Xenopus tropicalis: one gene and its partners. The protein of the gene in region 7 purifies or fractionates together with the protein of the main gene of each other region. This does not show direct contact. Links are inferred from orthologs where the notes say so. Each region holds a gene or a part of one and is shown on either strand. Other genes may lie near its edges.

Region 1 (4,148 bases), on a different chromosome or scaffold from region 7:
AGCATTTGTCCTGTTTACTCAGACTCCTGCAGCAAACCTGTCAGCAGAATAAGCCAATCATTGAGAGAGGAACTCGTGCCTCACCCGCTGGTGCCGAGGAGACGGTTAAACAGTAACAGAATTACAGCAAAGGGCACAGTCTCTGCCCCTTACGGCTCCCGGGGCCACAATACACTTGGCATTAAAGGGAAAGTTCACTTTTTAGATAACTTACAGAATGACCTATTCTAAGCAACTTTTCAATTGGTCTTCATTATTTCTTTTTGAGTCATTTTTGAATTATTTGCCTTCTGACTTCTTTCCACCTTTCAAATGGGGGTCACTGACCCCAGCAGCCAAACCCTATTGCTCTGTGAGGCTACAATTGTATTGTTACTGCTTATTCCTTATCTTTCTATTCAGCCCCGTATTCATATACCTGTCTCTCATTCAAACCACTGCCTGGTTGCTAAGGTAGTTTAGATCCTAGCAACCAGATAGCTACTGAAAATCCAAACGGGAGAGCTGCTGGACAAACAAAAGTGCAATAACTAAAAAAAGAACTACAAATGAAAAATGAAGACCAATTGCAAGTTGTCTGGGAACATCACTCTCTACATCATACTATAGGTGAACAGCCCCTTTAATGTTCAGGCCCTGATCAAACATATGCCTGAGGGGTAGTCGGGACACGGATCTGCCGGCCAGCCCTGACAAGCTCACAGTTATTCTGTTTGTATTATATTGTTTTCACCCCATAATAAACATACACCATAAGCTGCTCAGCGGCTGATCCTTATTCCCTATCACTGATACGGCGGCAGCTTATTAACTAGCACAAGAAATGGTTAATTACCCACGTGCCCCAGCCCTTCCCCTCCCACACACGGGACCATCAGGCACTGCCCGGAATCAAACCAGTTACCCACGTGCAGTGATGCAGCAATGCCGCCCCCTGTGCCAGTCTGTAGAACCGACTCTATTCTGACTCTACTGTCTCTATTTCCCATTCTCAGGCTGGCCACGCCCCTATGCACAGATGTGTTGCACCCACTACACCTGAACTACAGCTCCCAGAATCCCCAGCTAACACCCCCCCTATAACTGTGCCAGACTGGGCTACACAGGAGTGTGTATGGGAGGGGAGCTGCTATAGAAATGCCCCAGGGCAAGTTGCAGTGAGTTGCATCACAAAGCCTGTCCCACGGGGGGTTAATTACTGCACCAGGGAGCCCTCACGCTGCTTCTCTTCCGGCCCCCCGCTCCCCCTGCCCCAGGGGCAGTTCCATTCCTACTGTGGGGGGTAATAGCAATACAAGGTACAAGCCCTTAACTGAGGGAGGTGGGAGTGCCCTCCAGCACAGCATATGGCTATACCCACCCCCAGTAATACCCACCCCCAGTAATACCCCCAGTACCCGCTATACCCACTCCCAGTAATACCCCGGTACCTGCTATACCCACCCCCAGTAATACCCCCAGTACCCGCTATACCCACCCCCAGTAATACCGCCGGTGCCCGCTATACCCCCGGTACCCGCTATCCACCCCCAGTAATACCCCGGTCCCTATACCCACCCCCAGTAATACCCCGGTGCCCGCTAATACCCACCCCAGTAATACCCCCGGTGCCCGCATAACCCCCCCAAGTAATACCCCGGTGCCCGCTATACCCACCCCCAGTAATACCCCCGGTACCCGCTATACCCACCCCCAGTAATACCCCACCCGTATACCCCCCAGTAATACCCCGTACCCCGCTATACACCCCAGTAATACCTACCCGCTATACCCACCCCCAGTAACCCCGGTACCCGCTATACCCACCCCCAGTAATACCCCGGTACCCGCAGTAATACCCACCCCAGTAATACCCCCGTACCCGCTATACCACCCCAGTAATACCCCCCCGCAGTAATACCCCCAGTACCCGCTATACCCACCCCCAGTAATACCCCCGGTACCCCTATACCCACCCCAGTACCCGCTATACCCACCCCCAGTAATACCCCCGGTGCCCGCTATACCCACCCCCAGTAATACCCCGGTACCCGCTATACCCACCCCCAGTAATACCCGGTACCTGCTATAACCACCCCCAGTAATACCCCCCGGTACCTGCTATACCCACCCCAGTAATACCCACCCCCAGTAATACCCCCGGTATAACCCACCCCAGTAATACCCCGGTACCCGCTATACCACCCCCAGTAATACCCCCGGTACCCGCTATACCCACCCCCAGTAATACCCCCGGTACCCGCTATACCCACCCCCAGTAATACCCCCGGTACCCGCTATACCCACCCCCAGTAATACCCCCGGTACCGCTATACCCACCCCCAGTAATACCCCCGGTACCTGCTATACCCACCCCCAGTAATACCCCCAGCTGCCTGGCTGTTAGTGCAGGGAGTGTGGGATAAAATGGGGCTGACAGAGCCCCCCCTGGAGCCCCCATATTACCAGTACTGCCAGGCTTTGCTGCCCCCGGCTGCCCTGCTGGAGGGCCGGTGAGTGAGGGGGCTGGGGGAGGCGTCGGGCCGGCTCTCGCTGTCAGACACCTTCATGGTGGGCACTTCCCCCTGCATGTTGGGGCCCCCCGGCCGCTGTCACTCAGTGTCCGTCACACAGGTGCGCTCATGGGCTCCGGTCCCAGTAACGGGGGGTCTGGGGGTCTCTGAGCCGTACGCTGGGGGCGCCACCCCGGTTACAGAGAGCGGGGTATGGGGGCGGCTAGTGGGGGTCTGTCAGTCCGGGCATTGCGGCCCTCCCGCTCCGCGTCTCATACTCCCGGGCCGCGGTGTGAATGTCCAGCCGGTTATACGTCTCTCCCCTCCGCCCCTGCCGGTGCGCCAGCCCCGCCTCACTGGGCTCATCTCGCGAGATTACGGTCACAGCGACGGCTCGGCGCGCTGACGTAAGCACGTAACCGCATGTGGGAGGGGCACGCCGACGCCCAGCGTATAGCGTCACACGCCTGTATGTTGTTGCTTAGCAACAGTGGGGCGGCTCCTACTTGTATTTACCCGGTTATGCAAAACAAAACTTTGTGCGGAGCAACGCCAACACTTGTTTTCATAAAAATCTTTCTTTATCCAATCTTTTTAAAAAAGCATGTTGTGCTTATACAGAAAAAGACCATACACTTGACGCGTTTCGTGGTATTTTCCTTCTGGAAAGGCCTTAAGGCTCCTCCCACAATCAGTTAACCCTTACAACGCATCTATTAACCAATATATATTAGTTAAAAGCAACAATAAGAATTGCAAAACATCACAGTATTACTTGGGACGTATCAAACATCTCTCAGCCATTGGGAAATACTAGATATAAACGGCAATAGGGGAGAAACATAAATAATATCAATAATATCAATATTCTAAAGCCACACGTATGTAGCCAAATATCAATAGAAACAGGTTAATTCCCACTCTCTGTTCATACCTCCCAATGTCTCTATAGTACCCAACTGATAAATCCAAAATGCTTCCCTACGTAATAATCTATTCTCAAAATCACCTTTCCTTATATTGAGGCCACATGTATCTATAATTTGAAAATGAAAGTCCATATTACCCTCATGTTTCTCAATACAATGTTTAGCTATAGCCGATTTAACATCCCCTCTCCCAATGGCCGACAGATGTTCCAAGATACGTTCACATACTTTTCAGATCATTTTTCCTATATATTGAGCTCCACATTTACATGTAATCAAGTACCGTATATACTCGAGTATAAGCCGAGTTTTCCAGCACTCAAAATGTGCTAAAAAAGGAACCCTCGGCTTATACTCGAGGCAAGTACCAAAATACCTATCCAACCGGGCAATTCATCCTCTCCAGGCATCGGGCACGCACCGGCCAGCCGTCGCATCCAGCCATCAGATTTATACTGGCCATCCGTCTCATCCAGCCTTCCCAGCCATCTCCAGCCATTGGGCGCACACTGGGCAGCCGTCGCATCCAGCCATCAGGTTTATACCGTCCATCCGTTACATCCAGCCATCAGGTTTATACCGTCCATCCGTCGCATCCAGCCTTCCCCAGCCATGGGCATGCACTGGCCAGCCGTCACATCCAGCCATCGGGAGCTGTTGCGCAAGCACCCCCCCCCCCCACTTGACATGCGACGCGGCGTGCGTGACGGCTCCCGATGGCTGGATG
Region 2 (3,500 bases), on a different chromosome or scaffold from region 7:
AGTGTTGCGAGATAGCAGTACTTACCACTGTGTAGACAACCTTAGATTAGAAATAATATGCATATCTTCCTATACAGGCATATATGGTAGCTATTTTTCAGGTTAAAGACTTAACAACTTATGTCCGAACACACTACGTGGGAATATGTTAATAATTAAAATGAAACATAGGAAACAATCCCAGAAAGACATGGCTGGGTCAATGGCCTACTCAGTTACTATGTCCAATTATTTCCTTTTAGAAATGAGCGGTCCTGCCATAAATTGGAGTCAAGCCAGATACATAGCTTTCATGCAGCTTTTAAACAACATCACTGAAAGTCTGTACACCAATCTCCTATGTGCACAGTCACAGGTGCTATTTTCATTTAAAACACTTTTTCCAGCAATGAGACACTGTACTGCCAACCTGAATTAACACAAATTATTTAGTGCTACAATGTTTGCAGATGAGTAACAGAACACACAACTAAATGCTTGGAGTATGTCAGAAAGACCTATTCAAAGACATCAGTAACAAAGTACAAACAGTGCCGATTCTGAGTCTGCCATCGCCCCCAGGGGGTTGGGGGGGGGGGTGGTGTTGGGGCGGGGTGGGAGCAAACCCTGGTAACTGGCCGCTTCTTGCCTCCTGGCAGGAGCAGCACAAAGCCCCTATCTGTCTGTCTACATCTGATTCATCCATAAGTCTCTTAAATGTTGATAAAAACAGCATTTTTCTTTTTTCCACTTCTACTGATGTGTTATGGCTCAGAATATGGTCAGTTCTGCCCCTTGCTTTATGTTTAGTAACTAGTACTAGTCTTGCTTGGATCTTGTTTAGTGAAGTTAACTGTATTTATTGCAGCTGTCAGATGAATATGTCTTTGGAGAACTTATGCCATCCCATCAGTGATTCACTTTATTGCCGTTGGGAAGGCATTTATAGATTAGTCGCCTGTGGTAGCCGAGATTTAACCACAGGGGACTAATCTCCCTGTGCACCACTTCCCTAAGTGAATTCCATATTTTTAATATAAAGAATGTCCCATACCTTGTTATTCTGTAAAAAGTTCTTTGGCTTAAATGAAAAAAGCAGTGGTTTTTTGTGATCAGCTGGATGTTTTCTGTGAATGTCATCAGCTTTGTACTGCAGCATCCTCCCAGTTTTATTTACCATCCAATATGGACTATGTAAGGCAATAATTGTTTGACCTGTAGTGTATGTCACATGGACAGCAATATCCAGTTCTGACTTGTCTAGTTCTGCTACACAGCGGAAGTTTATAAAGTGGATGTCCTGTTGCTTGCTTTGGATATGGTATTCTGCTGTCCAGCCCTGGTCAGTATAATTCAGCAATTGTAACTTCAACTTGGTGTTGTCTAAGGCTGCATTATGAATCTGGGTACTGCAGCCATCATCTACTAAAGTTGCATCAACATCAACACCCTAGGAGAGAAAAGCAAATTAATGTTTTTGTAAATCTTACAAAGGATAAAACGTGTTTCTGTGTATTGGTCAACAGCAGGGATCCCCAACCTTTTTTTACTTGTGAGCCACATTCAAATGTAAAAAGATTTGGGGAGCAACACAAGCATAAAACATGTTCCTGTGGGTGCCAAATAAGGGCTGTTATTGGCTATTTGGTAGCCTCTATATGGACTAGAAGCCTACAGAAGGTTCTGTTTGGCAGTATGTCTGGTTTTTATCCAACCAAAACTTGCCCCCAAGTCAGGAATTTAGAAATAACTCCCTGGTTTGGGGGCACTGAGAGCAACATCCAAGGGGTTGGGGAGCAACATGTTGCTCAGGAGCCACTGGTTGGGGATCACTGGTCAACAGTATGTATGGCAGACAACAGCAGGCTGTGTTGGGCTTAATTACATAAGCCAAAATCACATAGTGGATTTACAATTTCTTCAGTCGTAAAGAAGGGCCAAGTGCACACAACTAGCAGCAACCTACAAAAAAAACCTATAGCTACTAACCTCAGCAGAAGTCAAGAATGAGCAGAATGGGCCCAGAGCTCAGGGGTAACTAAGAAACCACTTCTGCCAACCAGATCAGGTGTGAGGAGAAAGTGAGCCAGAAACAATGTGGTCAAAATATAAAATAAAAACCAAATTTTCTTGGTTCCATTTACAATACAATTACTATTTATTGAACCCTTTAGGTTCCATGCATATAGCACTTGTAGCTGGGGCAATGGTCTTTGCACACTACACTGTGAATGGTTTAAAAATAAGACAAATGATACAAGGTATGCTACATGCTCACAGTAAATACAGGGTACTCTTGCACCTTGTCGCCCCTGAGACTCCCTAGGATGCCTACTGCAGTGACATTTCAAGGGATGCTTACCACCGGCCCCTTCAAAATGCAATTCCTCAGAACACAGGCAGCACTGCATACATAGCGAGGTGCTGCTCTTTGAACTCAATTTTAGAATGAAAATTGTCATGGTTATTGTATACATGATATGCATACTGTGATTTTCAAAAGGTTTTTTCAAACTAGCCAAAGATTATTCTGCAAAGTTGCAATTTACCTGCAATGAGAACTTAATCTGATAAGGCAGCAAGTTACGAAGAACTACAGTTGGCCATAAATGAACAACATATGGCAAATGCCACCCTTCATTGGTGTGATCAGATGACATGACAATGTCCTTTACAGGCACAATGTTTAGCTTGAGGGAATCCTTTTTAGATGTAGCAGACTGGCACTTCATATTCAGCAGCAGGCCATCATTTTTAATGACGTCTTCAAAGCTAACACCTTCACTCATTTCATATTTTTTTTCTTGCACTGGCTTAAAGCACAACACCGATCTGCTCGATCAACACAGAAAATATTATTATAGCACAAACACATTTTAAATTTGTATATAGATGAGATTGTGTTTTATTAAACATAACATTTTCAAATGCTTTTCAAAACAATTTGGCAGTTACTAAAAAGTCATTAAAGACAGTACAATATAGTGATAAATATTACCATGAAACGTACCAGTAAGTAATTTCTCAGCAAAGCAAGAAGTGACTTTTTTCAAGTGAGGAACGCAGCATGCTACCGGTTTAACAAAAATGTACTTTCTGATTATTGACTCAAACTAAAGCAAAACAGGCAGCTTAAATATTTACACCTAGGGGTAACTTACATACTTAAAATATTGCACCAGCATAGCAACCTACTGCAAAATGTAAGCAGTTGTTTCAAATATTTGATGGTTTTGAAAAAAAGGACATCTTTACATTTGCTGCACTGCTTTTTTGGAAAGGACTGTAAAGATTAAAAAGCCTCAGGTGGCTGTGCAGGTGGCAACCAGGCCATTAATCCATGAAGGGCCAAATAAATCCAGCAGATCTAACCATCTGTTGACACAGCTATATATGCACAGATGATTAGGCAGCAAGGTCGACATCAAGCGTTTGACCAATTTTATGTACATGCAAGCTGTGTGTGTATGCAGTGGTGTAACAAGATGTTGCTGGCCCCACGAAAGAATTAATTTGAATCC
Region 3 (4,109 bases), on a different chromosome or scaffold from region 7:
GAGGGGTGGGTAGAGTTAAAGAAGTGAGCCTGAGGGGTGGGTAGAGTTAAAGAAGTGAGCCTGAGGGGTGGGTAGAGTTAGGAAAGTGAGCCTGAGGGGTGGTTGGAGTAAGGAAAGTGAGCCCAAGGGGTGGGTAGAGTTAGGGAAGTGAGTCTGAGGGGTGGGTAGAGTTAGGGAAGTGAGTCTGAGGGGTGGGTAGAGTTAGGGAAGTGAGCCTGAGGGGTGGGTAGAGTTAGGGAAGTGAGTCTGAGGGGTGGGTAGAGTTAGGGAAGTGAGTCTGAGGGGTGGGTAGAGTTAGGGAAGGGAGTCTGAGGGGTGGGTAGAGTTAGGGAAGGGAGTCTGATGGGTGGGTAGAGTTAGGGAAGTGAGTCTGATGGGTGGGTAGAGTTAGGGAAGTGAGTCTGAGGGGTGGGTAGAATTAGGGAAGTGAGTCTGAGGGGTGGGTAGAGTTAGGGAAGGGAGTCTGAGGGGTGGGTAGAGTTAGGGAAGTGAGTCTGAGGGGTGGGTAGAGTTAGGGAAGTGAGTCTGAGGGGTGGGTAGAGTTAGGGAAGTGAGTCTGAGGGGTGGGTAGAGTTAAGGAAGTGAGTCTGAGGGGTGGGTAGAGTTAGGGAAGTGAGTCTGAGGGGTGGGTAGAGTTAGGGAAGTGAGTCTGAGGGGTGGGTAGAGTTAGGAAAGTGAGCCTGAGGGGTGGGTAGAGTTAAAGAAGTGAGCCTGAGGGGTGGGTAGAGTTAAAGAAGTGAGCCTGAGGGGTGGGTAGAGTTAAAGAAGTGAGCCTGAGGTGTGGGTAGAGTTAAAGAAGTGAGCCTGAGGGGTGGGTAGAGTTAAAGAAGTGAGCCTGAGGGGTGGGTAGAGTTAAAGAAGTGAGCCTGAGGGGTGGGTAGAGTTAAAGAAGTGAGCCTGAGGTGTGGGTAGAGTTAAAGAAGTGAGCCTGAGGGGTGGGTAGAGTTAGGAAAGTGAGCCTGAGGGGTGGTTGGAGTAAGGTAAGTGAGCCCGAGGGGTGGGTAGAGTTAAAGAAGTGAGCCTGAGGGGTGGGTAGAGTTAAAGAAGTGAGCCTGAGGGGTGGGTAGAGTTAAAGAAGTGAGCCTGAGGGGTGGGTAGAGTTAGGAAAGTGAGCCTGAGGGGTGGTTGGAGTAAGGAAAGTGAGCCCAAGGGGTGGGTAGAGTTAGGGAAGTGAGTCTGAGGGGTGGGTAGAGTTAGGGAAGTGAGCCTGAGGGGTGGGTAGAATAAGAGAAATTAGCCTGAGAAGAGAGTAAGGAAAACACACATGGGTGAGACAAGTAACGCACGAGTTTGGGGGCAGAGAGATGTAGGTTCTGGGGGCAGCGAAAACACTAAGCCGGGCAACGCGATTATAATAAAATGCAAGAGTCGAATGAGTACAGAAAAACGTAGAATACTTGAGGATAAAGGTTTCAGGAGGATAAACATACACGGAACAAGAGAGCGTTAAAACGAATTGAAACTTGTGAGAAAAACAAATGTCTCCGTGCAATGAGGGGAGAGTTGCATGTATAAAGAAGGCAGAGGAAGGCAGAAAACACAAGCTAACAGAAAAGAGCTGTAGTATGGGGGCAGAAAGATTGGGAGAAGTTGAATGAGAAAGAAGAGACAGTCGATTATGAGGGGAGAGAAAGGTAGGAGAATGGGGAACTGTCAGCGCGCAGTTCCGCTCATTGCGTTTAACAGATTCACGTCAGACTGAATAGGAAGTAGTGCGGGGAGCACAGGGCGCTACTCACACCGCAGGAGAACAGGATAGGTTGACATCCTCCGGGGCATCAAAAAATTCCTCCGTGTCGCTGTCGGACGCCATGAGATAGGGGCAGGCGGTTTGGATCCGGCCTGCTCTTGGTACTGTTTGGGCTGAGAGGCCTCACTGGGCGCTGCTCCCCGGGGGCGCTGGCCGGCCCAGCATTCAGGCTACAGGCTCCTGCTGACAGGCCAAGGCAAGGGAATAGGAGGGCCAGCGTACTCACAAAAACACAGGCCAGTCTCGCGAGATTACACACTGACAGGGCGAGAGTGGGGAGGGGCTATCACAGCGCTGAGGCAATGGGAGAGTGATCGTTCAATCAGATGAGTAAGTTAAGCCAGTAAGGAAGGCATGTATAGTTACAGAAGTGAGTTTCCATATGGGGACAACGTCCTTCGTAGCGATAGCGGTCTGTTGTGCATAAGGTGTGACGGCTGCTCCTTCTCCTGGGTGGTAATAGTCGCTCCGTGTGGCGCCCTAGGCAGGGGCTGTACTTCTCTAGCTATTGGAGCGTTAGGGATCGCAGATCCCTAATTTAGAGTGACCAGATGACTTGAAAAATAAGTGACACGACTAATAAATACATGTTGCAGGGCAGCACTAATTGCATTTAAAATAAACTGCAATCGTTCACCCTGTTAGCTGAATTTTTAAGCGATCTGGTCACTCTACCCTTATTTACTCGGGCTAAAGTTAAGAGGCAGGAGGAGACACAGGTAAAGCTTTTCGAACAGGAGAAAGAAATGCTGCCCCCTTCCTTTGCACAAGACACTTATGATTCTCAGCGTTGCAGAACAAGTGCTCTCTGATTTAGCAGAGCTGAAATTCCAATATTAAAATCGGAATTTTTACTCTTAAAGTTACCAGGAGTGGCTTTTTGCCATCCCTGGTAACATGGGTTGCTGCCACCTGAGGTGTGTTTCTCACCTCATGGCAACAGCGCCCCTGGCCAGCAGTATATTCAGCTAGATATTGTATGCTGGCTAGATATAGGAAGTATGGAAGGATTTAATCTGGGTATGTGTGAAACTAATAAATGATATATTGACTGTAGAGTTGCCTCCTTTTTCTGTCAGTAATACCAGCCTTTGGGTTGTGATGTCATTTTGGGGTGGGACTATGATGTAAGGGGGCAGGTAAATGTAAGGCCTGGGTAGGGTTATAAGCAAAGCAAGGTGGCCCATGGTGATCGGCGGAGTGGGTCAAGGAAGAGAGTTAAAAATGACGCAAATGACATGGCACTCACAATGCCGTGTATAATGTTGTGTGCGCCGCATCAGATGCTGTACTTGCCCACTGTGCAGAGAACAAGTCTCACTGTTCCCTGGCATGGCAGAATGGCTACTGACAAGCTTAAAGGCTGACACTGTGAAGTAGGAAATGATAATGGGGCTCATAAGAGCATTCTGGTGGCTTATTCTAGTGCCTATAAGGAACACACTTTGGGTGTCACTGTCTTTCATCACCCTAAGATGGGACTGCCTAGTTGCAGGGAAACAAGCTCAGGTCTGCCACTGATTCTGTATTATGGTAAGTTGTATTATAATAATTACAATATAATAGCAACAGAAATAAAGTGCATAAAATAATCCCATTTACATTATATGTGTAATAATTATATACTATGCACTGACTAGTTTATTTTTTTTTTATTATGCGCCTGAAATGCACGTCCACCCCCACCAGTCCTTGGAAAAATTGTCTTGCTTGAAAGCGGTACTTGGTGCAAAAAAGGTTGGGGACCACTGATTTATAGGTCATTACAAATGTACTGGCAAGTAAATTTGTAATACCGGTGCTGGACCTAGCTGGTGATTTAACGGTGGGTGAGTTTGCCAAAGAGAGACGGTAGCCTGAAATTTGAGTTTGCTTATGTCACATAGTCCTCTAACCTGAACTTTACAAACATCTTAGACCCTTTCAGATTTTTTAAAAAGACTACATAAGTCTGAAAGGACAAGGACAATTCAATGGGGGTGGGGGCAATATGTAAGGACCCCCACCCCAGTAATTACAGTATAATCCTTAACCATGGATCCTGGGCCAGTGCTCTTCTTTACTAAAAAACTCACCAGCCAAAGTTACCATTCATAGCAACTAATTCTAAAAGGCAGAGAGTCGTGTTGATTTAAATACCCTTACACAGTAACCTGCAGTAAGAGCTTGGTCACCCCATATCGGTAACTTGCACCTAAACATTTGGTTACCCTGCTATTAAGTATTAAGTCATGCTCAAAATCCTCAGAATCAGCCAGAGCAGAAGGCATAATTGGGGAATGTGGTCTGGGGGGATCAGTGCAAAGTTGAGGTGGAACATGCACAGTCTAGGAACATTGCAATTTGGCAAATGTGCAGT
Region 4 (3,056 bases), on a different chromosome or scaffold from region 7:
CACTGTCAGTGCAAATACGGAGGCAGGCCACCAGGCAACTTTATTACTGGCCCTCATCATTTGTGGTGCCTGTGCCTGTCTCAAAAAGGGCATGGCTAGCTCAGTAGTGTTTTGGCAACCTATGCTAGTGTTCTGGAGGACAAGCAGCAGCATCTTAACTACTAATGTAATGACACTCGTCTATTTGGTGTAACTGGCATGACTTTTCCCCTTATATATGGGAAAGAAGCATGGGTGTGCCCTTTAAGGGCAATATCACACTGAACATGCATGATCAACAGCCTCGAAAGACTGATTGTAAAAAGATGTGATTATGCTAAATGCACCTACCAAACTCCCTCTGCTGCTTGACTGCAGTACAGATGGGTTTGCCATGAACTCACCCATGTAACGAACAATAACAGGTTGAAAATATATAACAATAAAAAAAGCAAGAAAACAATGTGCCTTAACTCAAAGACAAATAAATACATCTCTCAGTTTTTTCTTCACTTCTTGTAGAAATTGCTAAATACTTTTATATCCTATCACCACATATCTGTACATTTGGTATCTTAATGTGGATCATGAGTTGGGGAGGCTGGAGTGTGTTGGCAGCAGACTGTGCACATGCGTGTGTTCCCAAAGTAGGGTAAGGAACTGCAGGCAGAGATCCCTTAAAATCTGCTGTGATTCCATGGACCAAGTCGAATAATCTCTGGATTTAACCCTTATCTGTAGGAAGCATTGCCTTATCTACGGATAAAAAAACCAAATACAGCATTAGGATATTCTTGTAATTCAACACAATGGTGTTAATGTAAAACTAATGTAAAGTTCACAAATGAGGTATTACACGACACTCAACAAATCATATCCACCTGGTAATCACTTAAGGAAAATCGCCACTTTCCAAATTCAACTGAATACAGCAAAATCCAGGGCACTCAGGATATTTTTCTTCTTCTTTGTATCAAAAATGCAGTACAGACTGACGTTTCAGGGTCACATAGTACCCATTTCTCAATGTCAAACACAAAATGAACAGTTGGTTGGGGTGGTGGGTTAATCAGACTTTTATGGACTTTAGGTAGACTGTAAATCACAGCATCACACAAATCAATAGAAAATCTTTTTCACCCTCCATCACCCAACCAGTTGAAATTCACAATGGACCAGATTCTTAATCTCTTTCTTAAATTTAGAAACAGGGTTAAAAGACAATTGGGGTCATTTATAAACACCGGACAAACCTGAACCTGGGAAGTTAGGCAACCAATCAGATATTTGATTTTACTGTTCTACTTGCAGCTCCTTTAAAAAAAGCTAATCACTGATTGGTTGCTATGGGTTACTGCCAAGGTGCAAATTTGCCCACTGTTTAAAAAAGCCCCAGTAAATGATAGATGAACAATCTACTAATAACTCCAACATCCTTTTCCTGTAATGACAGTAGTTTAGAACATCAATGCCCTCACCCTTATTTGCAGGCTTCACAATGACAATACAGGTAATGGCAGTTACTACAGAAAGAGTGCTTTTGGATTTACACTCTTAATACTTCTAAATCCTTTGGCTGCTTTCTGGAGGATCGTTGATAATGGTCTTGAATGGGTTAAAGATTTTGCTATCCAGCATGTGGTTTGGTGGTGGTGAATTTTTTATGTGCGAATCATTTGGTCTTTGAGAAAGGGGTACTCTGTGATCCCAAAACATCAGTCTGTACCACTATCAGACTGGGTGTCCAGGGCCTGCTAGGGCTGTAACCCCATGGTCCCCCCCCCCAGATGTAAAGTCAGCCGGCCTCCACCTGCCAGGGCCTTGGTTGGCGGGGCCCGCTGAGTTTTTTCCCGGCCCAGTTCAACCCTAGTCTGAACTATCTTTTTGATAAAAGAAAAATATCCTGAGTGCCCTGGACTTTGCTGTGTTCAGCTACACTTTAAAATATAAAGGTCAACCATTAGCACAAAACCTTGTATTAAAAGCTTTGTAATACAATTCACCTGGGAGCATACAGAGGGTAAGTGATTGGCTTTGTTTTTATAGTGCAGTGTTTGTACTTAGAATACCCAATATGGTATTTTCCTCTGCTATCTTCCTTTCTGAGCACAAGACTCAATACCACAAGAGGATCCATAATTTCACTGTCTTGTCTGTTTTGATTGGATTTGGAACAGACTTAGAATCAACAACCCTTTTAATATAATCTATTGCTGAAGGAGTAACTTTTTTAATGTTTAATTTCTTAATTTACTGCTAACAGACAACCCACACAGAGATTTTTAATTGCTTAATCATGCCTGAAATTAGCTTACATAATAAAGGGAACACACATTAGTCACTGTTCCGTACTATAATTGAACTAAAAAAACTGCCCTGCAATCCAGAGAAAATATGTCTATTACTTTATACTGTGCTAGTGCTAATACAATGATGAGATTAGGCCAGTTGTAATAAAAGATGAGAGGACTGAACAGGATCATCAGTAAAAAGAAAATAGAAGAGAGCTGGAATTCAAGCTGATAGGTAAAGCTCATACATGCAGCACATAAATGCAAAGCAAGCAGAGCCCGATTCATGGATGTAATTGTAATCTTCCGGTCTGCATGCCTTAAACTGCCCGGGGAATATAGGAGCATCTAATCTACAGAAGATTAACAATGCTTCATCAGAGAAGACACTTGCTAATTGTGTGCATGCTAAAATCCGAGAAGGCAATAAAAAACTGTTGGCGTATACCTGGATCTTCCTCCAAGACCCCTGAAGTAGCCACTCTGTTTCGATATGTGTTATAAAACTCTTCAAGCCCCTGCAAACAGACACATAACAAAAAATAAACAAATATACTAGATTTAATGAGATAAACATAAAAAATAGAGATTTCATATTTTAATATGAATCATAACCTCATGAATAGTTTTGCACACTGGAAAACTGGAACAAAGGATTTTTTTTTTTTTTTTTTTATAAAAAATGCTTTTCATCAGTTCATGGTTAATTCCAGTGAAGATACCTTCCAAAACCAGAAGAAAATACAGAATGATATTTCAATTGGCATAAATTGATTGTAACATAAA
Region 5 (4,079 bases), on a different chromosome or scaffold from region 7:
CTATTAAATGCCAGGGGGCAAGATATTAGACATACAGAGTATGTTTGGAGGAAGTTAGGGATTACATTATACAGTTCTTGGCAAACTGCTAACCAGTACAATGGATGTAGTATTTAAATAACGTCACAGTACTTAGACTAAGGATACACACCTAGGCACCTGCAACAAGCAAGCCAGGTATAGATTAGAGGGCCATGGGTGGGAAATGCAGCGGCTACTGCTAAGTTTTTTTTTTAACTGTCAGGCAAGTTTGGGAAGGCTAAGGAAGCTGCCATACTAAGTATCAAGTACTTGTCATCCTGCTGTGTGCCCTCCCATTGCATTGCAGCATGTCTCCCAGCACAACTGACAGCAAAGATTCTATTTGTGAGAGTGCATCAGGGTAGACTTACATCTAGTATAAATAAATTTAAAGCAACTGGACTTGTTTGGTAGACTTACAGTTTGTGCAGGTTCACAGGGGCCTTATGCAGCCATGGAAAAGCCATCAATCGCATTTGTGCAGTGACCACTCACATCCTATGAAGCCATGTTGTGTGTGCTCCCCAGCACATGAATGTAGCCGTCCCTGAATGAAGCCCACAGCATGAATTGTGTCCGCTCCCATAATAGTAGCGCTGTATGCGCTTCCATTCCAATGAAATTGTGCTAGCGCTCACACGTGGGCACAGGAGCATGGGGGGTGCGAGTGACATCTTTAAATCCATATACTCGAGTATAAGCCGAGGGTGACTTTTTCAACACATTTTTGGTGCTGAAAAACTCGGCTTATACTCGAGTATATACAGTAGCATATGCAGAATATACAGATCAGAAATATTCCAAATCAGAACATACACTTATATAATCACAACCAAACATGCACCAAATGTAGAATCCTACACCCAAACATGCACCAAATGTAGAATCCTACACCAAGTACTTGGCTAAATACTAATCCAAATCTACACTCTAATTTGCACATTCAAGTGTGAGGACAATATGATCAGTAAAAAAAAAAAAAAACCTTTCAGAATCCAAAAAGGAAAGAATCCAGCCTACCCATAAGCACTTCATCAATAAAGAGACTCAGAACACAAAAATTGGTTATCAACCACCGGTTTATTTTACAAAACTATGCTGTGAATCTTTTCAACAAACCTGATCCTCTGTATATACTGTGAAATCTTCAAAAAAAAGTTGCCCATTGCCTAAAAGTCACATGACTTCAATAATTAGAATTTGGTTGGGATAAGAACTAAGGATTCTGCCAAATCCCAATCCTGCAAGAAGTGCTAAAATGTGTCTGAATTTGCTGTATGCCAACAAATCAGATCCAGTGGGCGTACTAAATTAACGGCAACATTTAATATACGCCCATTTGTAGTACAGCACCGTGTAATATGTTGGTGTAATATAAATAAGTGTCAATACAAATGATATGCAATGGCAGCCACCCTGTCAATGGGAATAACATACAAATGTAAATAATAAAGTCTCTCATGCCAAAATAACCACTTCTAAGTGTATATTGTGCTGTTGAACTTGTCCCAAAAAGCAATATGGTCACTAAGCATGTCAAACAACCTCCCCTCTATATGTTTCACGATATGTATATGGAAGAATGTGATAACAATCCATTATAATATAAGCATTCAATCTACATTATTAGCATTTAGCCTCAGTATTATACAGTTGGTACAGCTGAGCAGTAGAATTCCAGCTCACAATGCATTCCATTTTCATATCAGATTACTAATAATTAAAGAGCAGCACATCCAGATTCTTTGTTACTAATTATCTAATTTCTCTGACCCCCAAACATTTCATATACAAAATATATATAAAAATGTACATTCATGCCAGTACATATAAGTGTATGAAGAAAAGAAAGGACGCTGAAAAATGCACTATATACAGAAATATGGCTTACCCTGCAGGTTTGCGATTCGTTATTGGAAAATCTGTTATCCAGGAAGCGTAGAATTACAGAGGAAAGGCTGTCTCCCTAGACTCCATTTTAATCAAATATTTTTAAAAATGATTTCCTTTTCCTCTGTAATAATAAGACAAAAGCTCATGCTTGATCATAACTAAGATATAATTAATCCCTGTTAGAGGACTTTAGACTAAAATATGATGATCCATATTAGGGAAAGAGCCCTTATCTGGTAAACTCCAGGTCCCAAACATTCTGGATAACAGGTCCCATACCTTTACAATGGAGGTCAATGTATTTGTTCTGGGGAATCAGACAATATCAAAGCCAACTTGACATTTGCTGAGCAAACACAAGCCAATATACAATAAGGGTGTAACATTGCCAGTGAGGCCAGCTCTCGCTAGAAGTGCTGCATGTTACCTGGGTCCCACCCCTGGGGTGTTGCAGGGCCTCAGGCTGGAGGTGCCATGGTCACTCTAGCTTTCTGTAAGCACCTGTCACTGTATAGCGAAGTCTGACAAGCTAGCTCTAACTGCTATTGTACTACACCTGTATTACTTCTGTGATAGCTACGAGGGGCTGCTGGGAGTTGTAGTCATTAAACAGCTGGTGAGCAACAGGTTGACAGTCTCCGCTGGACTCGCCAATCCCCCACGTCACACCGCCTCCCACTTACCATGTCGCCTTCCCCGGGGCCGCAGAGCTCGGCGGTGCAGCTCATGGCCGGTCCCAGCTCAGCCGCCAGCTGCTCAGGTAATGTCACCGTGCGTGTGAGACCCCTTCAGGGCGGGATCCCCCAGGTTATACCGGTTTGAGGAAGCACCGAGATACACATAAACACTGTAACCTCCTCCCCCTCCCTGGATCCGCCTTCCCGACTCACACCGCGGCCAGCAGCGAGAGGAGTAAGAAAGCTCTGCGCAAGCGGCAGCGGAAGTGCACCGCAAATGAGGGCGGAAAAGCTCACTGTCAATTCCGATCGTTAGAATGTGTGTGCCAGGTTATACGTAACCTCCTCTAGGGTCAGTACGTCAAAATCGGAACGGGCACAATCTACCAATGTAATTAGGAAGCAGACTTCACATTCAATGTAGTTCATACTTTCTGTGAAGCTGCTAGTTGCTGGACTACAAGTCCCACCGTGCCCCGATATTCATACTGCCGCAGCAATTTGTAGTTAAACATACGACCTATTACACTATAAAAGCCCTTGTGAGTTAGGCCACATAGAGCAGCTGCGGCCTGTATAATGTACAGCAGGCTGGGTGACGTGACATAAGCCGCTTACACGCGATAAATGTGTACAAAGGTGACGCATGCTAGTCATTCTTTGACGTCACTTCCTGTGCGTGTATTGGCATTCCGGCCTTGCACCGGAAGTGTCGTCATCCCTAAGCAGCTGTGATGGCGAAGGCTGGAGAGTGGAGACGCTGGAACTGGTAATGGAGTTGGTTCGGAAGCTGTGTTTGCGGAGCGGCCTGGAGAGTAGTTACGATGCGGTGAGGGCTAATTTCTCATTCAGTTCATAAGTACCGGTTGTCATTAAGCGGCAACTTCCGGGATGTTGGAGGAGGCGGGTTGTAGCCCAGCTACAGGTTAAACATCTCGGTTACCGACAACTTGCCCGGTGGTGTCTGTCCAACCTGAATTGCTCTCTGTACTTCCCACTGCGTATCATATTATTACATACACACTTGATTCCAGGCTAAATGTAGCAGAGCAAGCAGGGCTGGCCGTGGCCCTTAGTTAACTGTGTGACCCCTGAGTATGTGTTAGGGCTGTCTGGCAAGCAGGCCAACCTTGAGATAAATGGCACTTCACCCTTTATTGCAGTGTTCTGGGACAAGTTACTTAGCATTGATTTGGTCTTCATCCTTTACATTTGTGTTTGTTCTGCATCGCTTGGTCTTGAAATTAAAAACTGCTGGTTGCTAGAGCTTATTACCCAAGCAATGATGTAGTAACTATGTAGTTACAATGGAACAGAAATAATGGAGGGACTGCAGGGAAAAGAAAGAAATACAACGCTGGTTTCAGTCCATTTTTCTTTTTTATTTAATGGGCTCAGCGACCTAAACAGCCAAAACATTAAAAAGTAGTTCAAAATTGCTTACATTTGGACTATTACCGTATATACTCGAGTATAAGCCGATCCGAA
Region 6 (4,188 bases), on a different chromosome or scaffold from region 7:
CCCACCTAAGGGTGGGCGATATCAGGCTAATTTGGTCATTTGGCCCTGAGGTTAAACAATGAAATTAGAACGATGGGTATAGGCGTCCATCAGTTCAGGGACCACATCAACGAGCCCATGTGGTCCCTGATCAGACTAATTTTCAAACCTGCCCGATCGAGATCTGGCCGATTTCAGGCCAGATGTTGGTTGGGCAGGCCCGTCATTAGTGCCCATACACGGGCCAATAAGCTGCCGAATTGGTCTAAGGGACCGATATCGGCAGCTAGAATTGGCTCGTGTATGAACACCTTTAGTACTGCATGTTTACCATGTTTGCTTATAATTTGTATACTTATTTTGGGTCATTAATCACAATTAAGTAGATCAATAATGATACAGATTATATATATATATATATATATATATATATATATATATATGCAATTGCTTATGTTTGCATGGCTGTGCTGCTAGAGTATTTACTTTAAGTCTTGAAGTAAAATATTATACTGTATTGCATCCCTAGGAGGTAAAAAATCTAACTTATTGCTACTTTCTGAAACCAAGCAGTGCACAGCTATGAGTTAATGATTACAAAGTAACAAGAGAGGTGCTGAATAATTGACTAGTATATTCTTAGGATAATGGCAATCATGTCATTTTTCCACCTTTTTTTTTTACCACTTAAAAACTAACAAAATGTCAAAATGGGTCTGCAGGTTTTAACCTAATTATGGCATAGTGAAATTATCCTTGCTTAAAGATAAGATGCTTTCTGTATTGATATATGGGAACTGAACACTTGTAAATTCACTTTTCTTTAAAAAAAAAAAAAAAAAGTCCCGCATGTACCTTCACAATAGCCTCAGGCTGTGGGATGAAAAAAATAGATAATGGAAACATTTATATAGCACTTTTCTCCAGTGGGACTTAAAAATTTTTTTACACAACAGTATACAATGCAGCCATTATAGGCATTCAGGGTCACAAGGAGTTGCCCCAGGGCATCTACCAGGGTGTCAACCATGAGATCCCACATCAAAGGCTGATCACTTAACCTTGAGGCCAATTTCTTCTGAGGGTGAAACATACAAGAAAAAGCTGGAAAGTAAGCTGGCACATACCAGGTGGTGTCATTTAAATAATTATTTAGACAACTAGAAAGTTGTATAGCAAATGGTAATCTAAACCAATATACATGGGAAAGAGACTTTTTAGGGCTCTGGCACACGGGGAGATTAGTCGCCCGCGACAAATCTCCCTGTTCGCGGGCGACTAATCTCCCCGAACTACCATCCCACCAGCGAAAATGTAAGTTGCCGGTGGGATGGCACACGCTGCGCATGCAATTTCGGCAAATCGCCAAAGTTGCCTCGCGAGGCATTTTTGCCAATTTGCCGAAATTTTATGGAGGGATTGTAGTTCGGGGAGATTAGTCACGGGCGACTAATCTCCCCATGTGCCAGAGCCCTTAGTCTTTTAAAACAATCAAAAATGTTTTTTCATATTTTAAGCTTACTGTATATTTAGGCACAAGCATTATGGTAATCATAATGTTCCAGCACCACTTAAAACTATTTCAGTAATGATCCCTGATTCAGAAAGAGCTCTTCATATAAAATGCAAGCAGACTATTACAGCAGGGTCATTCTGTTGACAGACAGTCTATTGTATTGCATTAACTCACTCAGCACCGACTGTAAGTAAACTATCAAGATTCCAATTCATCTGTTTTTTTACTCCAACAAAAACTTTCAGCCAGACAATTGACATTTATTTCCTGGCTCTGATGTGCATGTGTGTGTGTGCACACACACACACAGATTGGAACCCCCATTTTACATTTTTCAGGCGACCAGAAATGAATCACGGAAATGCATTATGCATTATAAACTGGTGGGACTACAGGAAAACAATGTAAAATTTGGGAAAACTTAAAAACTAAGGTTTCACAAATATAAAGAATCTAGGTTGCACTGTAACACATGAATTAGATGTATGAAGTTTCTTCTGGTAAAACCAACCCTGCTAATTATACCCCATAGATGAATTAGATTGTAAGCTGTGCACGGTCAGGAACTGATATTGAACAATCGCTATAACATGCTGCTTTATATATCCATGCTATATCCTAAAGGACAATAGATAATTCTACTGAACACAAGGCACATTTTACACATATGAGCTTACTTTTCCTACTGTTGACTCTAATGAACAATAAAACTGCGAATAAAAGATCATTCTTAAGAAATATTTACACTTTCAAACTACAAAAACAGGGATTACAACAGGTTCTAAAATGTACTGTTGTAATATATAACATTCTGGTTAAACAGCCACGTCACACTTCTTATAACACACAATCAATAAGTTTAATACAAACAAAATCAGCATTATAAATGGCAAGCTAACAAGATGTATGATGTGTAAAGCCCCTCTGCTGGCACTGTGTGAGCTTTCTCTCACATCCTATCAAGCACGTAAGACATGACAACTACACGCCAGCGGCTACAGCTGTTCCAGCGCGGATGTGCGCGGCCATTGGAGAAGCGCTAGCGATAGCGCGGGCACCAATTGGCTGTTGTTAGGTTACTAGCCCATGGATTGGCTGCGGCTAGGCGGCTCCGCGGTCCCCACCCGAGATCTTCTGGTAGACATTTAGAGAGGAGCACCAGAGAGCACGTGAAACATGCAAAGCGGCTCTCACCGTATAATAGGAGAGCAGCCCGGCGTTGTAATCCAACACAAACCAACGGTACTGCCAGCCTTTCATCACGTTTGTCCATTTGCTCAAAGGTCCTTCCATGATAGATGCCATCTTGGAACAGGGAAATAACAACACGACGTTCGGAGTCATGCGTCAACGTCACTGGATAGGGCGGGGCTTAGAGCGAAGAAGGCTGGGAAGTACTCAGGGCGTGGCGGCGTGCGTCAGAGAGTGGTACAGAGCGTTACTAGGAGCAACCTGAAGATGCTGAGCCAGAGCAAAGCTTCAGTATCGCCTGTTGCCCTGCCTGTGTGGGAATAGAAAAGCTTGTAGACTGGATGCGCAGAGCTAGCAATAGAGCCATAGCCTGAAACTGCGGAAAAGTGGAATAAAGTTCGCCCATACAGTAACAAACATGCTTTACAAAGACGTGTCAAATGTACTTTTACATTCGCCGGTATTAAAACAGTTTGAAAAGCTTTTAATAAAGACGTTTTATTTCATCTGCAAAATGCCTGTTTCCAGCGTTGTTATCTATTCTGCTTCCTCAGTTGTAAGCTGCTCATTAATTACTTTGGCATAATTAAGTCGATTTTTATCGTGCAGGGAATATATTATTACAATCACTTGCAGATCTCCCCACCTCCCTTTGCCTCTCTCACTTTCCCACACCTGTGACCCCTCCCAGCACGTGGTCTGCGCTGGTTGGCTGCCTCAGGGCTCTTCTGACCAATCAGGCTGAGCCATCTGTGTTGGGCACAGTTTGAGGGGTAATTTGTGATTCGCATATGCACAAGCTGCCGGCACTGAGCGTCTCATCTTTGGCGTCCTTTCTACAGGTGACTAATCTCATCCTTCTACACCTCATTCTACACTCTGCTGTATATTCTGTATCCCAGCATCTTCTGGGCACCTACTTCTATAACATCCATTTACCCTATCCCTTTAATTTGCAATCCCACAGTCACCACACGTGTAAACTAACTATTGAATAGCACATATATTGGGCATTAGTCTGTTGCTTGTACCCTGCTCAGCCAAAACTTGTGTTTGCATCCCGTCTCAGTGTCATACCTTCCCGGCACTGTATGCCCAGGGATAACAACTTCCATTCTCTGCGCTCTATTGAGTTTCCTCCATCCTGCCTTCATCTTGTGTATGTCCCCACATTTCTCCACCCTGTGCTTCAGTTTATCACTCTCAATATATCTCCTCCATTTCGTTTTGCTATTCAGGCTCTCAGTTTGCTCGGTTTGTATGTTGGTGCCCACCTTGGTATAGTCTATACTATATATACATTATAGCATCCACTCACTAGCTTTTTTGAAATCATCTTCTCTGTGGACATATTCTATATATACTCTGCATTCTGCACATCTGCTCACTGATCTCACTTCAGCTAGTGTTTATATGAGCTATAACTTATCTGCACTATTCATCTTTGCATCCACTCACTGCCTTTCCCTACACATGCACCCTATGCCTACACTCTGCATCCT
Region 7 (3,933 bases):
CCTACAATTGTCCGGCCTCCCTTGGTGGTTTCCTCACCGTTACAAAGTACCGAATACCCCCCCCACCCCACCCCGAGCCCCCAGTGTCACTAACGCACAGAGTGGGCGCAGGGTCCCCTACCCACACACACTGTGCCAACACTGCCCAATCAGCAGTCAGAAGGAATGCAGCCAATGGGAGGGGGGCACAGACAGGACTTTATGTATCACTGCCCCCAGTATATGCGCCCCATTACACCCTATATATACCCCCTGTATATTGGATACAGCATCGGGGCTGTGCACCCTGCACCCTACTGGCACTACGGGGGCATAAATGGATCAGGACTGGGGAGCACAGCAGGGCCCCAGGGAACCCCCATATAATTAGGGGGCACTACTCCTCTTTGTTATCAGGGAGCTCTCTGCCCTTTACCCACATACCAAACTGACAGTTATAATAGGGACCCCCTACCTTCAGCCCTGTATCCCAGCAACCCCTTGCACTCATGGTTACAAGACCTCCCTCAGGCAGGTTCTGAAATGGGATGTACCCCAGCGCCCCCCACTGGCCCTGCACCCCAGCGTCCCCCACTGGCCCTGCCCCCCAGCGCCCCCCACTGGCCCTGCCCCCCAGCGTCCCCCACTGGCCCTGCACCCCAGCGTCCCCCACTGGCCCTGTAATCCAGCGTCCCCCACTGGCCCTGCACCCCAGCGCCCCCCACTGGCCCTGCACCCCAGCGCCCCCCACTGGCCCTGCACCCCCCACTGGCCCTGCCCCCCAGCGGCCCCCACTGGCCCTGCCCCCCAGCGGCCCCCACTGGCCCTGCCCCCCAGCGGCCCCCACTGGCCCTGCCCCCCAGCGGCCCCCACTGGCCCTGCCCCCCAGCGGCCCCCACTGGCCCTGCCCCCCAGCGGCCCCCACTGGCCCTGCCCTCCAGCGGCCCCCACTGGCCCTGCCCCCCAGCGGCCCCCACTGGCCCTGCACCCCAGCGGCCCCCACTGGCCCTGCACCCCAGCGGCCCCCACTGGCCCTGCACCCCAGCATCCCCCATTCCAGGATTACAACTCATGCAGCCCAGCAGTACCCCCAAGCCGTACATTCCAGGATTATATCCCATGTAGCCCAGTAGTACCCCCAACCCATACATTCCAGGATTATAACCCATGTAGCCTAGCAGTACCCCCAACCCATACATTCCAGGATTATAACCCATGTAGCCCAGCAGTACCCCCAACCCATACATTCCAGGATTATAACCCATGTAGCCCAGTAGTACCCCCAACCCCTACATTCCAGGATTATAACCCATGTAGCCCAGTAGTACCCCCAACCCATACATTCCAGGATTATAACCCATGTAGCCTAGCAGTACCCCCAACCCATACATTCCAGGATTATAACCCATGTAGCCCAGTAGTACCCCCAACCCCTACATTCCAGGATTATAACCCATGTAGCCCAGTAGTACCCCCAACCCATACATTCCAGGATTATAACCCATGTAGCCTAGCAGTACCCCCAACCCATACATTCCAGGATTATAACCCATGCAGCCCAGCAGTACCCCCAACCCCTACATTCCAGGATTATAACCCATGTAGCCCAGTAGTACCCCCAACCCATACATTCCAGGATTATAACCCATGTAGCCTAGCAGTACCCCCAACCCATACATTCCAGGATTATAACCCATGTAGCCCAGTAGTACCCCCAACCCCTACATTCCAGGATTATAACCCATGTAGCCCAGTAGTACCCCCAACCCATACATTCCAGGATTATAACCCATGTAGCCCAGCAGTACCCCCAACCCATACATTACAGGATTATAACCCATGTAGCCCAGCAGTACCCCCAACCCCTACATTACAGGATTGTAGCCCAGCAGTACCCCCAACCCATACATTACAGGATTATAACCCATGTAGCCCAGCAGTACCCCCAACCCCTACATTACAGGATTGTAGCCCAGCAGTACCCCCAACCCATACATTACAGGATTATAACCCATGTAGCCCAGCAGTACCCCCAACCCATACATTACAGGATTATAACCCATGTAGCCCAGTAGTACCCCCAACCCCTACATTACAGGATTGTATCCCAGCAGTACCCCCAACCCCTACATTACAGGATTGTAGCCCAGCAGTACCCCCAACCCATACATTACAGGATTATAACCCATGTAGCCCAGCAGTACCCCCAACCCCTACATTAGAGGATTGTATCCCAGCAGTACCCCCAAGCCGTACATTAGAGGATTGTATCCCAGCAGTACCCCCAAGCCGTACATTAGAGGATTGTAGCCCAGCAGTACCCCCAACCCCTACATTACAGGATTGTAGCCCAGCAGTACCCCCAACCCATACATTACAGGATTATAACCCATGTAGCCCAGTAGTACCCCCAACCCCTACATTACAGGATTGTATCCCAGCAGTACCCCCAACCCCTACATTACAGGATTGTAGCCCAGCAGTACCCCCAACCCATACATTACAGGATTATAACCCATGTAGCCCAGCAGTACCCCCAAGCCGTACATTAGAGGATTGTATCCCAGCAGTACCCCCAAGCCGTACATTAGAGGATTGTATCCCAGCAGTACCCCCAAGCCGTACATTGCAGGATTAATGTGAGTGCCCCAGAGCCCCCGGTACCTCGGAACTTGAGCTCATGCTGGGGCTCCAGCTGAAGGATCTGCTCCACCTTGGCCATGTCTCCCGTGTGGGCTGGGGGTCCGGGCCTGTCCCGGCGGCGGTGGCGGCTGCAGGAGCGGGTGATGCAGCAAAGCGGCGGAGGGCGGAGGCTGCTGTGACGTCACGGCCCCTGCAAGGCCCGGGGGTGAGCGGCGCGCAGGCGCAAGGGCTGGGGGCGGGGCCGCGGCTGCGCACTGGGGCTCAAGGGCCAACATGGCGGCGCCTGGGGGGGAGGGGCAAGTTAGCGCTGGCAGCGTATGTGCGGGACCCCGTATCCGCCCTGTGTAATGTCACATAGATATCCGGGAATATAAACCCGCGGGATCTCCCCTTATTGGTACCGGGTTGTCCCGCCCCTCCTGCCGGTACCGCTCTCTCCCGCCGCCGGTACCGCTCTCTCCCGCCGCCGGTACCGCTCTCTCCCGCCGCCCGTACCGCTCTCTCCCGCCGCCGGTACCGCTCTCTCTCCCACCGGTACCGCTCTCTCTCACCGCCGGTACCGCTCTCTCTCCCACCGGTACCGCTCTCTCCCGCCGCCCGTACCGCTCTCTCCCGCCGCCGGTACCGCTCTCTCCCACCGCCGGTACCGCTCTCTCCCGCCGCCGGTACCGCTCTCTCTCCCACCGGTACCGCTCTCTCTCACCGCCGGTACCGCTCTCTCTCCCACCGGTACCGCTCTCTCCCGCCGCCCGTACCGCTCTCTCCCGCCGCCGGTACCGCTCTCTCCCACCGCCGGTACCGCTCTCTCCCGCCGCCGGTACCGCTCTCTCCCGCCGCCGGTACCGCTCTCTCCCGCCGCCGGTACCGCTCTCTCCCACCGCCGGTACCGCTCTCTCCCACCGCCGGTACCGCTCTCTCTCACCGCCGGTACCGCTCTCTCCCACCGCCGGTACCGCTCTCTCCCACCTCCGGTACCGCTCTCTCTCACCGCCCGTACCGCTCTCTCCCACCGCCGGTACCGCTCTCTCCCGCCGCCGGTACCGCTCTCTCTCACCGCCCGTACCGCTCTCTCCCACCGCCGGTACCGCTCTCTCCCACCGCCGGTACCGCTCTCTCTCACCGCCGGTACCGCTCTCTCCCACCGCCGGTACCGCTCTCTCCCACCGCCGGTACCGCTCTCTCTCACCGCCCGTACCGCTCTCTCTCACCGCCCGTACCGCTCTCTCTCACCGCCCGTACCGCTCTCTCTCACCGCCCGTACCGCTCTCTCTCACCGCCCGTACCGCTCTCTCTCACCGCCCGTACCGCTCT

The links.
Region 1: the proteins of vapb (region 7) and osbpl11 purify together in Homo sapiens (affinity purification with mass spectrometry; 4 studies listed by BioGRID and IntAct, counting the BioPlex papers as one, with this or other methods). This does not show direct contact. The link is inferred for Xenopus tropicalis from reciprocal best matches to the Homo sapiens genes VAPB and OSBPL11.
Region 2: the proteins of vapb (region 7) and vps13a purify together in Homo sapiens (affinity purification with mass spectrometry; 3 studies listed by BioGRID and IntAct, counting the BioPlex papers as one, with this or other methods). This does not show direct contact. The link is inferred for Xenopus tropicalis from reciprocal best matches to the Homo sapiens genes VAPB and VPS13A.
Region 3: the proteins of vapb (region 7) and wdr44 purify together in Homo sapiens (affinity purification with mass spectrometry; 4 studies listed by BioGRID and IntAct, counting the BioPlex papers as one, with this or other methods). This does not show direct contact. The link is inferred for Xenopus tropicalis from reciprocal best matches to the Homo sapiens genes VAPB and WDR44.
Region 4: the proteins of vapb (region 7) and arhgef12 purify together in Homo sapiens (affinity purification with mass spectrometry; 3 studies listed by BioGRID and IntAct, counting the BioPlex papers as one, with this or other methods). This does not show direct contact. The link is inferred for Xenopus tropicalis from reciprocal best matches to the Homo sapiens genes VAPB and ARHGEF12.
Region 5: the proteins of vapb (region 7) and aftph purify together in Homo sapiens (affinity purification with mass spectrometry; 3 studies listed by BioGRID and IntAct, counting the BioPlex papers as one, with this or other methods). This does not show direct contact. The link is inferred for Xenopus tropicalis from reciprocal best matches to the Homo sapiens genes VAPB and AFTPH.
Region 6: the proteins of vapb (region 7) and osbpl9 purify together in Homo sapiens (affinity purification with mass spectrometry; 7 studies listed by BioGRID and IntAct, counting the BioPlex papers as one, with this or other methods). This does not show direct contact. The link is inferred for Xenopus tropicalis from reciprocal best matches to the Homo sapiens genes VAPB and OSBPL9.

Annotation. Positions count from the first base shown.
Region 1 is NC_030685.2:89,894,435-89,898,582, forward strand, and holds the start of osbpl11 (oxysterol-binding protein-related protein 11), read right to left. Parts: upstream 2,801-4,148; 5' UTR 2,571-2,800; coding exon 2,446-2,570; intron 1-2,445. UniProt on the Homo sapiens protein: Plays a role in regulating ADIPOQ and FABP4 levels in differentiating adipocytes and is also involved in regulation of adipocyte triglyceride storage. Weakly binds 25-hydroxycholesterol. Interacts with OSBPL9 to function as lipid transfer proteins.
Region 2 is NC_030677.2:132,297,208-132,300,707, reverse strand, and holds part of vps13a (vacuolar protein sorting-associated protein 13A), read right to left. Parts: intron 2,812-3,500; coding exon 2,529-2,811; intron 1,430-2,528; coding exon 1,034-1,429; intron 1-1,033. UniProt on the Homo sapiens protein: Mediates the transfer of lipids between membranes at organelle contact sites. Binds phospholipids. Required for the formation or stabilization of ER-mitochondria contact sites which enable transfer of lipids between the ER and mitochondria.
Region 3 is NC_030684.2:67,117,381-67,121,489, reverse strand, and holds the start of wdr44 (WD repeat-containing protein 44), read right to left. Parts: upstream 2,801-4,109; 5' UTR 1,814-2,800; coding exon 1,740-1,813; intron 1-1,739. UniProt on the Homo sapiens protein: Downstream effector for Rab11 which regulates Rab11 intracellular membrane trafficking functions such as endocytic recycling, intracellular ciliogenesis and protein export.
Region 4 is NC_030683.2:78,817,228-78,820,283, forward strand, and holds the end of arhgef12 (rho guanine nucleotide exchange factor 12), read right to left. Parts: intron 2,789-3,056; coding exon 2,719-2,788; intron 736-2,718; coding exon 704-735; 3' UTR 501-703; downstream 1-500. UniProt on the Homo sapiens protein: May play a role in the regulation of RhoA GTPase by guanine nucleotide-binding alpha-12 (GNA12) and alpha-13 (GNA13). Acts as guanine nucleotide exchange factor (GEF) for RhoA GTPase and may act as GTPase-activating protein (GAP) for GNA12 and GNA13.
Region 5 is NC_030681.2:32,370,400-32,374,478, forward strand, and holds the start of aftph (aftiphilin), read right to left. Parts: upstream 2,801-4,079; 5' UTR 2,598-2,800; intron 1-2,597. UniProt on the Homo sapiens protein: Component of clathrin-coated vesicles.
Region 6 is NC_030680.2:96,347,303-96,351,490, reverse strand, and holds the start of osbpl9 (oxysterol-binding protein-related protein 9), read right to left. Parts: upstream 2,801-4,188; coding exon 2,690-2,800; intron 1-2,689. UniProt on the Homo sapiens protein: Interacts with OSBPL11 to function as lipid transfer proteins.
Region 7 is NC_030686.2:2,710,585-2,714,517, reverse strand, and holds the start of vapb (vesicle-associated membrane protein-associated protein B/C), read right to left. Parts: upstream 2,801-3,933; 5' UTR 2,702-2,800; coding exon 2,644-2,701; intron 1-2,643. UniProt on the Homo sapiens protein: Endoplasmic reticulum (ER)-anchored protein that mediates the formation of contact sites between the ER and endosomes via interaction with FFAT motif-containing proteins such as STARD3 or WDR44.